Macaca fascicularis: one gene and its partners. The protein of the gene in region 3 interacts with the protein of the main gene of each other region in a pairwise test. Links are inferred from orthologs where the notes say so. Each region holds a gene or a part of one and is shown on either strand. Other genes may lie near its edges.

Region 1 (3,752 bases), on a different chromosome or scaffold from region 3:
AGAGCGAGACTCCGTCTCAAAAAAAAAAAAAAAAAAAAAAGAAACTTGTCCAGGGAGACACTGCTGTTTATAATCACAGGCCTGCTTAGCCTAGAGCCTGGGCTGGCCTCTTCATCAGCGGGGATGAGGTGCTCCTTGCTCCCAGCTGCTCAGCTCCCAGTAGCATTGAGCTCCTGGGTGTGTGCCAAGCCTGTATGGGAGGTGCTAGGGAGGATTTTAATTAATACGGGGTAATTACCATGTGGTGTTTAAGCATCCCAAATGCCCTTCAGGTTCCCAAACCTACAGCTACTCTCTTCCTGGCTGGGCCTGGAAAGGAGAGGGGGGACTCTGCCCTATGCCCAGTGGGCCTTTGGTTAGCATGTAGGCTGTGGCCTGGACATCCCAGGAAGGTCTCCACCTTTTTCAAAACCTTTCCAGTTTGGTAGGAGGAGGAGGGCAATTTAGGAAATAGTCTGGCTTCTACAGTTCACCTATACCATCTTCCTAGGGGCAAAGGATAACAATGCCTGTGGTCTGCTCAACTTCATCAAGCAGTGTTGGCCTAGGGCCCAGTGTAGAATGTGGGGAGAGGAGTGGGCAGACCTAGATCTGGGGACCCTGGTCAAAGTGCTCCAGGAAGAACAGGCACAGAGGTCTTTGCTGCTTTTGGCCTTATTTCCCTTTCTCACTGTACACATTTGGCAGACTGAACTCTTTCAAATTTATTTTTCTGCCTGTGGCTCTCAAATTATGATCTCTTTCAAACGCCTACTTCCTACAAGGCCTTCCCCGTGTGACATCTCAGAGACCTGCCAGACTCCTGAGTTATTCCACCATTCCACCTGGCAGCCAAGGTGGTCCTGACTCCACCAGGCCTTTGCTCTTGTTGTATGTTCAGATGGCTTTCCTCCAGATCTTCCCCTAGGCGGGTTCTGCTCAGACCTCGCGTCCAGCTTGAATGTCACTCCCGAAAGTGAGCCCTCTCTTGCCCTTCATCAGAGAAGAACCACACTGAGGTGCTCGTATGTTTCTGCTTCTCGCTGTGTCTCTGGTGCTAAGTGCCGGCCAAAAGGAGGCTCTTGGCATCAGCTGAAAGAATAATGTAAAGGTCTTCAGGACCAGGCGAGAGGCACTAATCGGTCCCCTTCATGGGTAGACCATTCATTACCTAATTCCCCGGATTCCCGCCATGAGCCGGCATTAGGAACCGTCCACTGTCTCGACCCCCCGACAGCCTGAGGGGCGTGTCACCTAGTGGCGCAAGCGCACTGAGGGCCGATGCTACGCGGGGACGCGCACGCCCGCGGTCGCGTGCGTCACAACCAGGACGCCTGCCCCGCCGGTCCAGCTCGCCTCCCCGTCGGTCCCCGCGGCGGCGGCGGCTGCCCAGTGACAGCGGCGGCGGTGCCAGGCCGGCCGTGGTAGCGTAGGGTTGCGCGGCCTGGAATCTCAGAGCCGGCCAAAGAGCGGCGCGACGTGAGGAAGGCCGAGCCGGGGCCGCGCGGGAAGAGACCTCGCGGGCGCGGAGCGAAAGGCCGGCGTGAGTGAGCGCGGAGACAGTGGCCGCCGGCGGCCCAACCCGTCTATCCCCTCGGCCGCCGCCGGCATGAGCCACATCCAGATCCCGCCGGGGCTCACGGAGCTGCTGCAGGGCTACACGGTGGAGGTGCTGCGACAGCAGCCGCCTGACCTCGTCGAATTCGCTGTGGACTACTTTACCCGCCTGCGCGAGGCCCGCGCCCCAGCTTCAGTCCTGCCCGCCGCCACCCCACGCCAGAGCCCGGGCCACCCCCCGCCAGAACCTGGCCCGGACCGTGTCGCCGACGCCAAAGGGGACAGCGAGTCGGAGGAGGACGAGGACTTGGAAGGTAGGCTGTGGGCGGGGCCCTGGGGAGTGGTGCAGGAGGTCTCGAGGGGTGGCAGGGAGCCGGGTGTCGCGCCGGGGCCAAGCCGACCGCAGGCTGGGATTGGGAGCTCTGTAGCCGCGTTTCTAGCGTTTTCCTGAGACACCGCCGTGAGCCCGCGTGCGCCACTTCCAAATTGAGCTCCGCGGTCCTGCGAGCCCTAGAGCGCACCCAGTGATTTGTCAGATTCAGCCTTGAAGGAAACTTGCGCGCTGTCGGCCCTGCCAGAGAGAGGATCCCTCACCTTTGCTTGAGATCCTTCACCAGGTTTGACTCCGAAGACAAGAGCGTTCACATCCAGTGACTCGTGTTTAATTGAAAGGACAGTAAGTTTGTTTGGAAATAATAATTTTTTTTGAAAAGTTACTGTGAAAACTTTTAAGCATAGACAGAAGAGGAAAGGTGAGATGAATCCCTATATGCCATCACCTACATTTAACAGTTGTATTTGTCACAAAGTTTCATCCATACCCTTTTTTCTTCGCCGAAGTGTATTAAAGCAAATCTCTCAGGTCATTTCACCTCTGCTTGCTTGAGTTTGTATTTCTTCAAACGTGGTCCCTCGGAATATTCCTATTTTTAAAAATTTGGCCAAAACGATTGAATCAAATTTGGTGAGAGTAAGTAATTATCTTGCCGGCTGTGGCAGTGGGTCCCTATAGTCCCAGCTACTCTGGAGGCTGAGGAGGAAATATCGCTTGAGTCCAAGAGTTCGAGACCAGCCTGGGCAAAATAGACACCCTATGTCATTTTTAAAAAGGAAAAACCTGGCCGGGCGTGGTGGGTCACGCCTGTAATCCCAGCACTTTGGGAGGCCGAAGCGGGTGGATCACCTGAGGTCAGGAGTTCGAGACCAGCCTGGCCAACATGGCGAAACCCCGTCTCTACTAAAAATACAAAAATTAGCCGGGCGTTGTCGTGGGCGCCTGTAGTCCCACCTACTTGGGAGGCTGAGGTGGGGAGAATCGCTTGCACCTGGGAGGCGGAGGTTGCAGTGAGCCAAGATCATGCCACTGTACTCCATCCTGGGCCGCAGAGCCAACTCCGTCTCAAAAAAAAAGAAAAAGGAAAAACCCAATAGTTATTTTCTTGTTTAGTGGGTGGGTTGTAGCTTTAAAGGAAAGGATCCCAGCAGAGACTGAGATCAGGAGAGCAGCTTCACTGGCTCTGCTTGCTGTATCGAGATTTATCATTTAGTAATAGTCAGTAAACCTTCTCCAAGAGTATGCAATAAGGACCGAGCAGAAAACAAGTTAGAGACTGTCCCTCCCTCACTGATTTGGTGATCCAAGATCATCACACCTTTTTTTTTTTTTTTTTTTTAAAGTCAGGATCTCGCTCTGTCACCCAGGCTGGGGTGTAGTGGCACAATCAGGGCTCACTGCAACCCCGACCTCCCAAGCTCAATGTATCCTCCCACCTGGGCCTCTCAAGTAGCTGGGATTACCTGGTGTGCCACCATGCCTGACTAATTTTGAGTTTTTATAGAGACGGGTCTCCCTGTGTTGCCCAGGCTGGTCTTGAACTCTTGCCCTCAAGTAATCCTCCTGCCTTGGCCTCCCAAAGTGCTGGGATTACAGGCATGAGCTACTGCTCCTGGCCAAAATAACACTTTCTACATCTGATCTAAGCAAGAGTGTTAAGAAGCAATTACAATTTCCTTGGTTGCTTCAACATATGCTTTGTCAATTTAACAGTAGAATTAGCCTACTTTTGAACAACTAAAATTGAACAAAACCATTTGAGAGGCCAAGTTAGGATCTTAGTGTTATTAGATCAGACACACACACAACTAGTCTGAGTTGTATCTGGTCTGGCCCAGTATTCAAGTCACGGCTGGCAAGGAGTTAATTAACAGTCATTGCT
Region 2 (3,680 bases), on a different chromosome or scaffold from region 3:
AATTCTATTTTTCTTTATACTGAAGTATTTCCATTTTTGGAGATACAAGTCAAAATCACTCAAAGCATAAAGAAAAGTTTCAAAATAATAAGCGCCTCATCTTGCACTATCCTATTTGAAGGAGATCAACTAACTTTGATAGGTGCCTCACAATAAATGGCGCCTTTGTCTCAACAAATAGTAAATGCGTGGAGTGCACAACGGAATAGCATCAGTAAGATAAGACATAATAAACAGGATGGATGGGGAAAGGCTAGATAAAACGTGGTGGAAGAAAAAGAAAGACGTCACAAAGATGGGGTAGCATTTCTTTGTCCAAAAGAGAAACAGTACCACCATAAGACTTTAAACAAAGGACATTAACAACACTTATCATGCAAGTAGATTCCAGAAGGAAAATAAAATGCCACTACTAAGGTGGAGGCTGAAGTTTCAGGACAAATCGCTTGGCACCACCTCTGCGGGGGTTCACCATGGCGAATGACGCGTGGGAAGCTGGGCGAGTGGCCAGCCCGCTCCTGGACGCGCGGACAGGTGGACACCAAGACGGCCTCGCTGGGCCTCCCTCCGCCTCACCCAGCCCGGGCGCGCAGCCCGCCAACGAATTCCACCCTGCCGTGCTCTGAGCGGCTGGTGAGCGGCGCCAGCCGGCGGAGGTTGCCATGGTTTCCGAGGGTCACGTGGGCGCGCTCTCCTGCGCCCCCTCCCGCGCACCGCGGCGGGGCGGGGGCGGGGCGCCCGGGCGAGGGAGAGGCGCGGCCGCGGCGGGAGCGGGAGGAGCAGGAGATGCTGCCAGCCCTCCCGGGGCCGCGCTCGCTCAGCCGCCGCCGCCACACGGAGCAGACGCGCGCCAGGAGCCGCGGGCCGGGCCAGCCGGGCCGCCGGGGCCCAGTGCGCCGCGCTCGCAGCCGGTAGCGCCGCCAGCGCCGTCGGCGCTCGCTCGGCAGCCGCGGGGCCCTAGGCCGTGCCGGGGAGGGGGCGAGGGCGGCGCCCAGGCGCCTGCCGCCCCAGAGTCAGGATGAGCATCGAGATCCCGGCGGGACTGACGGAGCTGCTGCAGGGCTTCACCGTGGAGGTGCTGAGGCACCAGCCCGCGGACCTGCTGGAGTTCGCGCTGCAGCACTTCACGCGCCTACAGCAGGAGAACGAGCGCAAAGGCACCGCGCGCTTCGGCCATGAGGGCAGGACCTGGGGGGACGCGGGCGCCTCTGCCGCCGCTGTCGGGGGTGGCACCCCCAGCAAGGGGGTCAACTTCGCCGAGGAACCCATGCACTCCGACTCCGAGGACGGAGAGGAGGAGGAGGCGGCGCCCGCAGACGCAGGGGCGTTCAATGGTGAGGACCAGACCCCCCGCCCTCGCGCCCCGGGATCCCCTTGCTGCCACGGCTCTCGGATCTTGCCGCTTTGCGCGCCCACCTCTCCCCGCATTCTCCACCTTTCCCTACCTTCCCATCTCGCCCACCCCCTCAGCATCCATTTCTGTCTCTCCCACTCGCCCACCTTCCTACTCCGCTCTCTGTCATACCCTCTTCCCTTCCTCTGGAGGTGGGAGAGCTGGGAGGTTACGCTTCCCTCTGCCCGTCTGCCCCCTCTGCCTGGGCTGGTTGGGGTGGGCATCTGCTAGAAAGACAACTTTCGCTGTGATTGGAGGTATTTCGCTTGGAGGATACCATTGTGCATAAAGAAACTGGCCCACTTGGCGTCTTCTTTCAGCCTTTGTATTTATTAAACGAATGTCAAAAGAGAAAAGGCGAACGATGTTTAATATGATTGTCTTTACTGTTGTTAGGATGGTAGATTCACTAAAAGAAGCATGAAATTGGACTCACTGGGGCAGAACAAAATTTATGGCCAATAGCTCTGACATTCTTGGAAATAAGAGTTATCTGTTATTTTCCAATTTACCAATGCCGTGTTGTGTTATTTTTGGACACGTAACAAAGGATTCTATTTAGTCTGAAACCCACGGGGGTCTTTGGAATGAGGAAACGGGTTAATGGTTTGCTTTTTGTATAAAAGACATATTGAATGATTTGCTGTTTTATTTTTTTTAAGTGTATGAGAAAAACACTGTAGGAAGTTCTGAAAGCTTGTTGGTTGTCTTTAGAATGAAAAGCCAGTGAGTAATTGTAAGGACTGTGCCAGACTGAGCTAGAATAGACTGAGCTAGAAGAATGAATGGGAAAGAAAACGGAATTTTCTCAAATAGCTGCTCCTGGCAAGTCCCACCCCTTCTGCTTACAACCCTCTTTCCCTAACACACCCAGACACACACCCTCATTTACAGCCCCCTGTATTACACAACATACCCAAATCCCATTTTTATGGCAACCCAAGCTAAAATACCATGGAGTGCAATGTGCAAGTGTTTTCTCTTTGTGATATAAGGCAAACATGCATGCAGCATTGCACCAGCTTTTATTTATTTACACTGCTTGTGGTTTGTGTGTCCGCAGTGTATTTCATAAAATGAAAACATTTAGAAGTGTCATTTCATTTCCTTGTGTATGCTCCTAGGAAGATGTTTCTTTTCTTTGCACGATTACATGTTGAAATGGATTATAAAATTAATGTATTTTTAGTTTGTCCAAAACAATCCCAGAAAGCCTGGAAATTAGTGCTTTATGAAGATAAAAGTGAAGCTTGTTACTTACAATTTTAATTTTGGACTTTTAAATGTTTCCTCAAGAGGATAATCATAGTCTTAGTAGTTCTTTTTGCACAAGAATCAAATCAAACGCTTTTCCTTCTAGAAACAAGAGAAAGAGAGAAGAATGCATGTTTTAAATAGGTAAGAAGCAGCAGCCAGTAACGGATGATAGAAAGGGCAGAGATATCTAATACTTCTTTTATGCTCCTGACGCATGCACACATGTTCATGCACACACACAAAGGGGGAAAAAAGGACTCTTTTCCCAGGTTGGAGAAAACTAGGAACTCAGGGGCTTGGTAAAGACCTTATATGTATTCTGTATAATATGTTGTTAATATAATCAAAATCTTTTGTTTGTATAATGCATTTGTTGAAGTACTTTGCATTGATGATTCCATTTTCTCCTTATAACAATATATTGTGCACAGAAGAGATTCCATTTTCATTTTGTAGTGAAGAAACAAGCCGTTAACTTCAAAACAGCAGGGCTTTATATGACTTTATATTCTCCAAGGCACCTTTGCTGTAAAAATTGCTCAATGTGAGTTAAACAAGTTAAACTTGTAAACAATTGCACTATTTACTCCCCAGCCTCACCTTCAAGGCCTTTAAAACTTTTAGACTGCAACCAAATACAATTTGATCATTATCCAGGAGGCACATACATGTGTCTGATTGAAACTTTGGCAATAGTACAGGTACTACCTTCTGTCAGATGCAGTGCTTTTTGATATTTACTATTTGAATTGATTATTTCTCCCTATTTTAAATTGTGTTGAGACCTGCAGTTGAAAAACATTTAATTATAGGCTACAAAGTGGTTGGCAAGCTTTTCTTGTAAAGGGCCAGATAGTAAACGTTTTAGGCTTTGGGCAACATGTGGTCTTGATTACTTTTTTTTTTTTTTTTTAAACACATACGCGTTGTGAGGGTTGGGATTGTCGAAAATTAGCCGCATATCAAGGCCAAAGCTTGCTGACCCCTGATCAGAAGAAAAAAAAAAAGTCAAAATAGTACCACTGGGGAA
Region 3 (2,308 bases):
GGGGTCTAGAAATGGGATTCTGGGGTCATTTGGCCATTCCATGACCTTGTGCAGCAGATGCCTCTCTGGGAAATAATTTCCCCTTTGATGAGTTGGCTACATTAAGAGTTTCAGGCGTTAAGAGGAATCCATAACCTAATGGGAAGCACAGGCCTGAGTCAGAGTAAATATCTCTTGAATGTTAGGCCATTCGCATTTATTGTTGTAATAATGATTATGTTGAATGCTGAGGTCTGGGTGATTCTTGATCCCTCTCCAGGTGGAAGCTCCCTTCATACCAAAGTTTAAAGGCCCTGGGGATACGAGTAACTTTGACGACTATGAGGAAGAAGAAATCCGGGTCTCCATCAATGAGAAGTGTGGCAAGGAGTTTTCTGAGTTTTAGGGGTGTGCCTGTGCCCCCATGGATTTTCTTTTCTTTTTTTTTTTTTTTTTTTTTGGTGGGGGGGTGGGAGGGTTGGATTGAACAGCCAGAGGGCCCCAGAGTTCCTTGCATCTAATTTCACCCCCACCCCACCCTCCAGGGTTAGGGGGAGCAGGAAGCCCAGATAATCAGAGGGACAGAAATATCAGCTGCTCCCCCTCATCCCCTTTGCCCTCCTGCCCCCTCCCCCACTTTTCCCTTCCTCCTTCCCCACAGCCCCCCAGCCCCTCAGCCCCACCCAGCCTACTTCTGCCTGTTTTAAACGAGTTTCTCAACTCCAGTCAGACCAGGTCTTGCTGGTGTATCCAGGGACAGGGTGTGGAAAGAGGGGCTCACACTTAACTCCATCCCCCACCCACACCCCCATCCCACCCAACCACAGGCCCCACTTGCTAAGGGCAAATGAACGAAGCGCCAACCTTCCTTTCGGAGTAATCCTGACTGGGAAGGAGAGATTTTTAGTGACATGTTCAGTGGGCTGCTTGCTAGAATTTTTTTTAAAAAACAACAATTTAAAATCTTATTTAAGTTCCACCAGTGCCTCCCTCCTTCCTGTACTCCCACCCCTCCCATGTCCCCCCATTCCCCAAATCCATTTTAAAGAGAAGCAGACTGACTTTGGAAAGGGAGGCGCTGGGGTTTGAACCTCCCCGCTGCTAATCTCCCCTGGGCCCCTCCCCGGGGAATCCTCTGCCAATCCTGCGAGGGTCTAGGCCCCTTTAGGAAGCCTCCGCTCTCTTCTTCCCCAATAGACCTGTCTTCACACTTGGGCTTTGAGAGCCAGACAAAGCAGCTGCCCCTCTCCCTGCCAAAGAGGAGTCATCCCCCAAAAAGACAGAGGGGGAGCCCCAAGCCCAAGTCTTTCCTCCCAACAGCGTTTCCCCCAACTCCTTAATTTTATTCTCCGCTAGATTTTAATGTCCAGTCTTCCCTCAGCTGAATGGGAAGGGCATCCCTGCAAAAGGGAACAGAAGAGGCCAAGTCCCCCAACGCCATGGCCCGGGGTTCAAGGCTAGAGCTGCTGGGGAGGGGCTGCCTGTTTTACTCACCCACCAGCTTCCGCCTCCCCCATCCTGGGCGCCCCTCCTCCAGCTTAGCTGTCAGCTGTCCATCACCTCTCCCCCACTGTCTCATTTGTGCTTTTTTCTCTCGTAATAGAAAAGTGGGGAGCCGCTGGGGAGCCACCCTATTCATCCCCGTATTTCCCCCTCTCATAACTTCTCTCCATCCCAGGAGGAGTTCTCAGGCCTGGGGTGGGGCCCCGGGTGGGTGCGGGGGCGATTCAACCTGTGTGCTGCGAAGGACGAGACTTCCTCTTGAACAGTGTGCTGTTGTAAACATATTTGAAAACTATTACCAATAAAGTTTTGTTTAAAAAAAAAAGTGTCGCTGGTGTTCTCGACTTCGATCACCCACCCACACACCCCCAGGGGGTTGGAAAGGGAATTTCGGACCCCAGAGTGCAAGCCGATCAGGTCCCGGCTTGAAGTCCTTGTAAACAGGGTTTAGCTGAAATTCCGGCACTCCTTCGGCCCCGCAGGAGAAACGAGCGTCAAACTGCCCTCTGACCCCAGATTCGGGGTCCCCAAATCTGCAGCGCGCCCCCTCGGCGTCCAGCCCGGGACCGAGAGGGCGCTCTAGGGAGGCGCTGGGGCCGGCGCGCCAGAAGGCCGAGCGGCGGCGGGGGCGGCCCTGGCAGGGGGAGTAGAAGGGGGAGAGGGTGCGCGCCCCCCTCCCCGCATCCTTAGCGCCGGGCCAGGCGCGCCTGAGGGACGCGGGGGCGGCGGCAGCAAGAGGGTCCCCGCAGCACCCTGCGAGCGCGGCAGCCCCGGCCCGCGGGCGGCGAGTTCCCGGTAAGTGCGGTCCGGAGAGCGGAGCGCGCCG

The links.
Region 1: the proteins of PRKACA (region 3) and PRKAR2A interact in a protein complementation assay, tested with the Homo sapiens proteins (2 studies listed by BioGRID). The link is inferred for Macaca fascicularis from reciprocal best matches to the Homo sapiens genes PRKACA and PRKAR2A.
Region 2: the proteins of PRKACA (region 3) and PRKAR2B interact in binary tests that used the Homo sapiens proteins (3 or more experiments, as listed by UniProt). The link is inferred for Macaca fascicularis from reciprocal best matches to the Homo sapiens genes PRKACA and PRKAR2B.

What each region holds. Positions count from the first base shown.
Region 1 is NC_088376.1:111,815,293-111,819,044, reverse strand, and holds the start of PRKAR2A (cAMP-dependent protein kinase type II-alpha regulatory subunit), read left to right. Parts: upstream 1-1,293; 5' UTR 1,294-1,588; coding exon 1,589-1,850; intron 1,851-3,752. UniProt on the Homo sapiens protein: Regulatory subunit of the cAMP-dependent protein kinases involved in cAMP signaling in cells. Type II regulatory chains mediate membrane association by binding to anchoring proteins, including the MAP2 kinase.
Region 2 is NC_088377.1:148,581,837-148,585,516, forward strand, and holds the start of PRKAR2B (cAMP-dependent protein kinase type II-beta regulatory subunit), read left to right. Parts: upstream 1-815; 5' UTR 816-1,018; coding exon 1,019-1,334; intron 1,335-3,680. UniProt on the Homo sapiens protein: Regulatory subunit of the cAMP-dependent protein kinases involved in cAMP signaling in cells. Type II regulatory chains mediate membrane association by binding to anchoring proteins, including the MAP2 kinase.
Region 3 is NC_088393.1:14,510,461-14,512,768, reverse strand, and holds the end of PRKACA (cAMP-dependent protein kinase catalytic subunit alpha), read left to right. Parts: intron 1-259; coding exon 260-385; 3' UTR 386-1,807; downstream 1,808-2,308.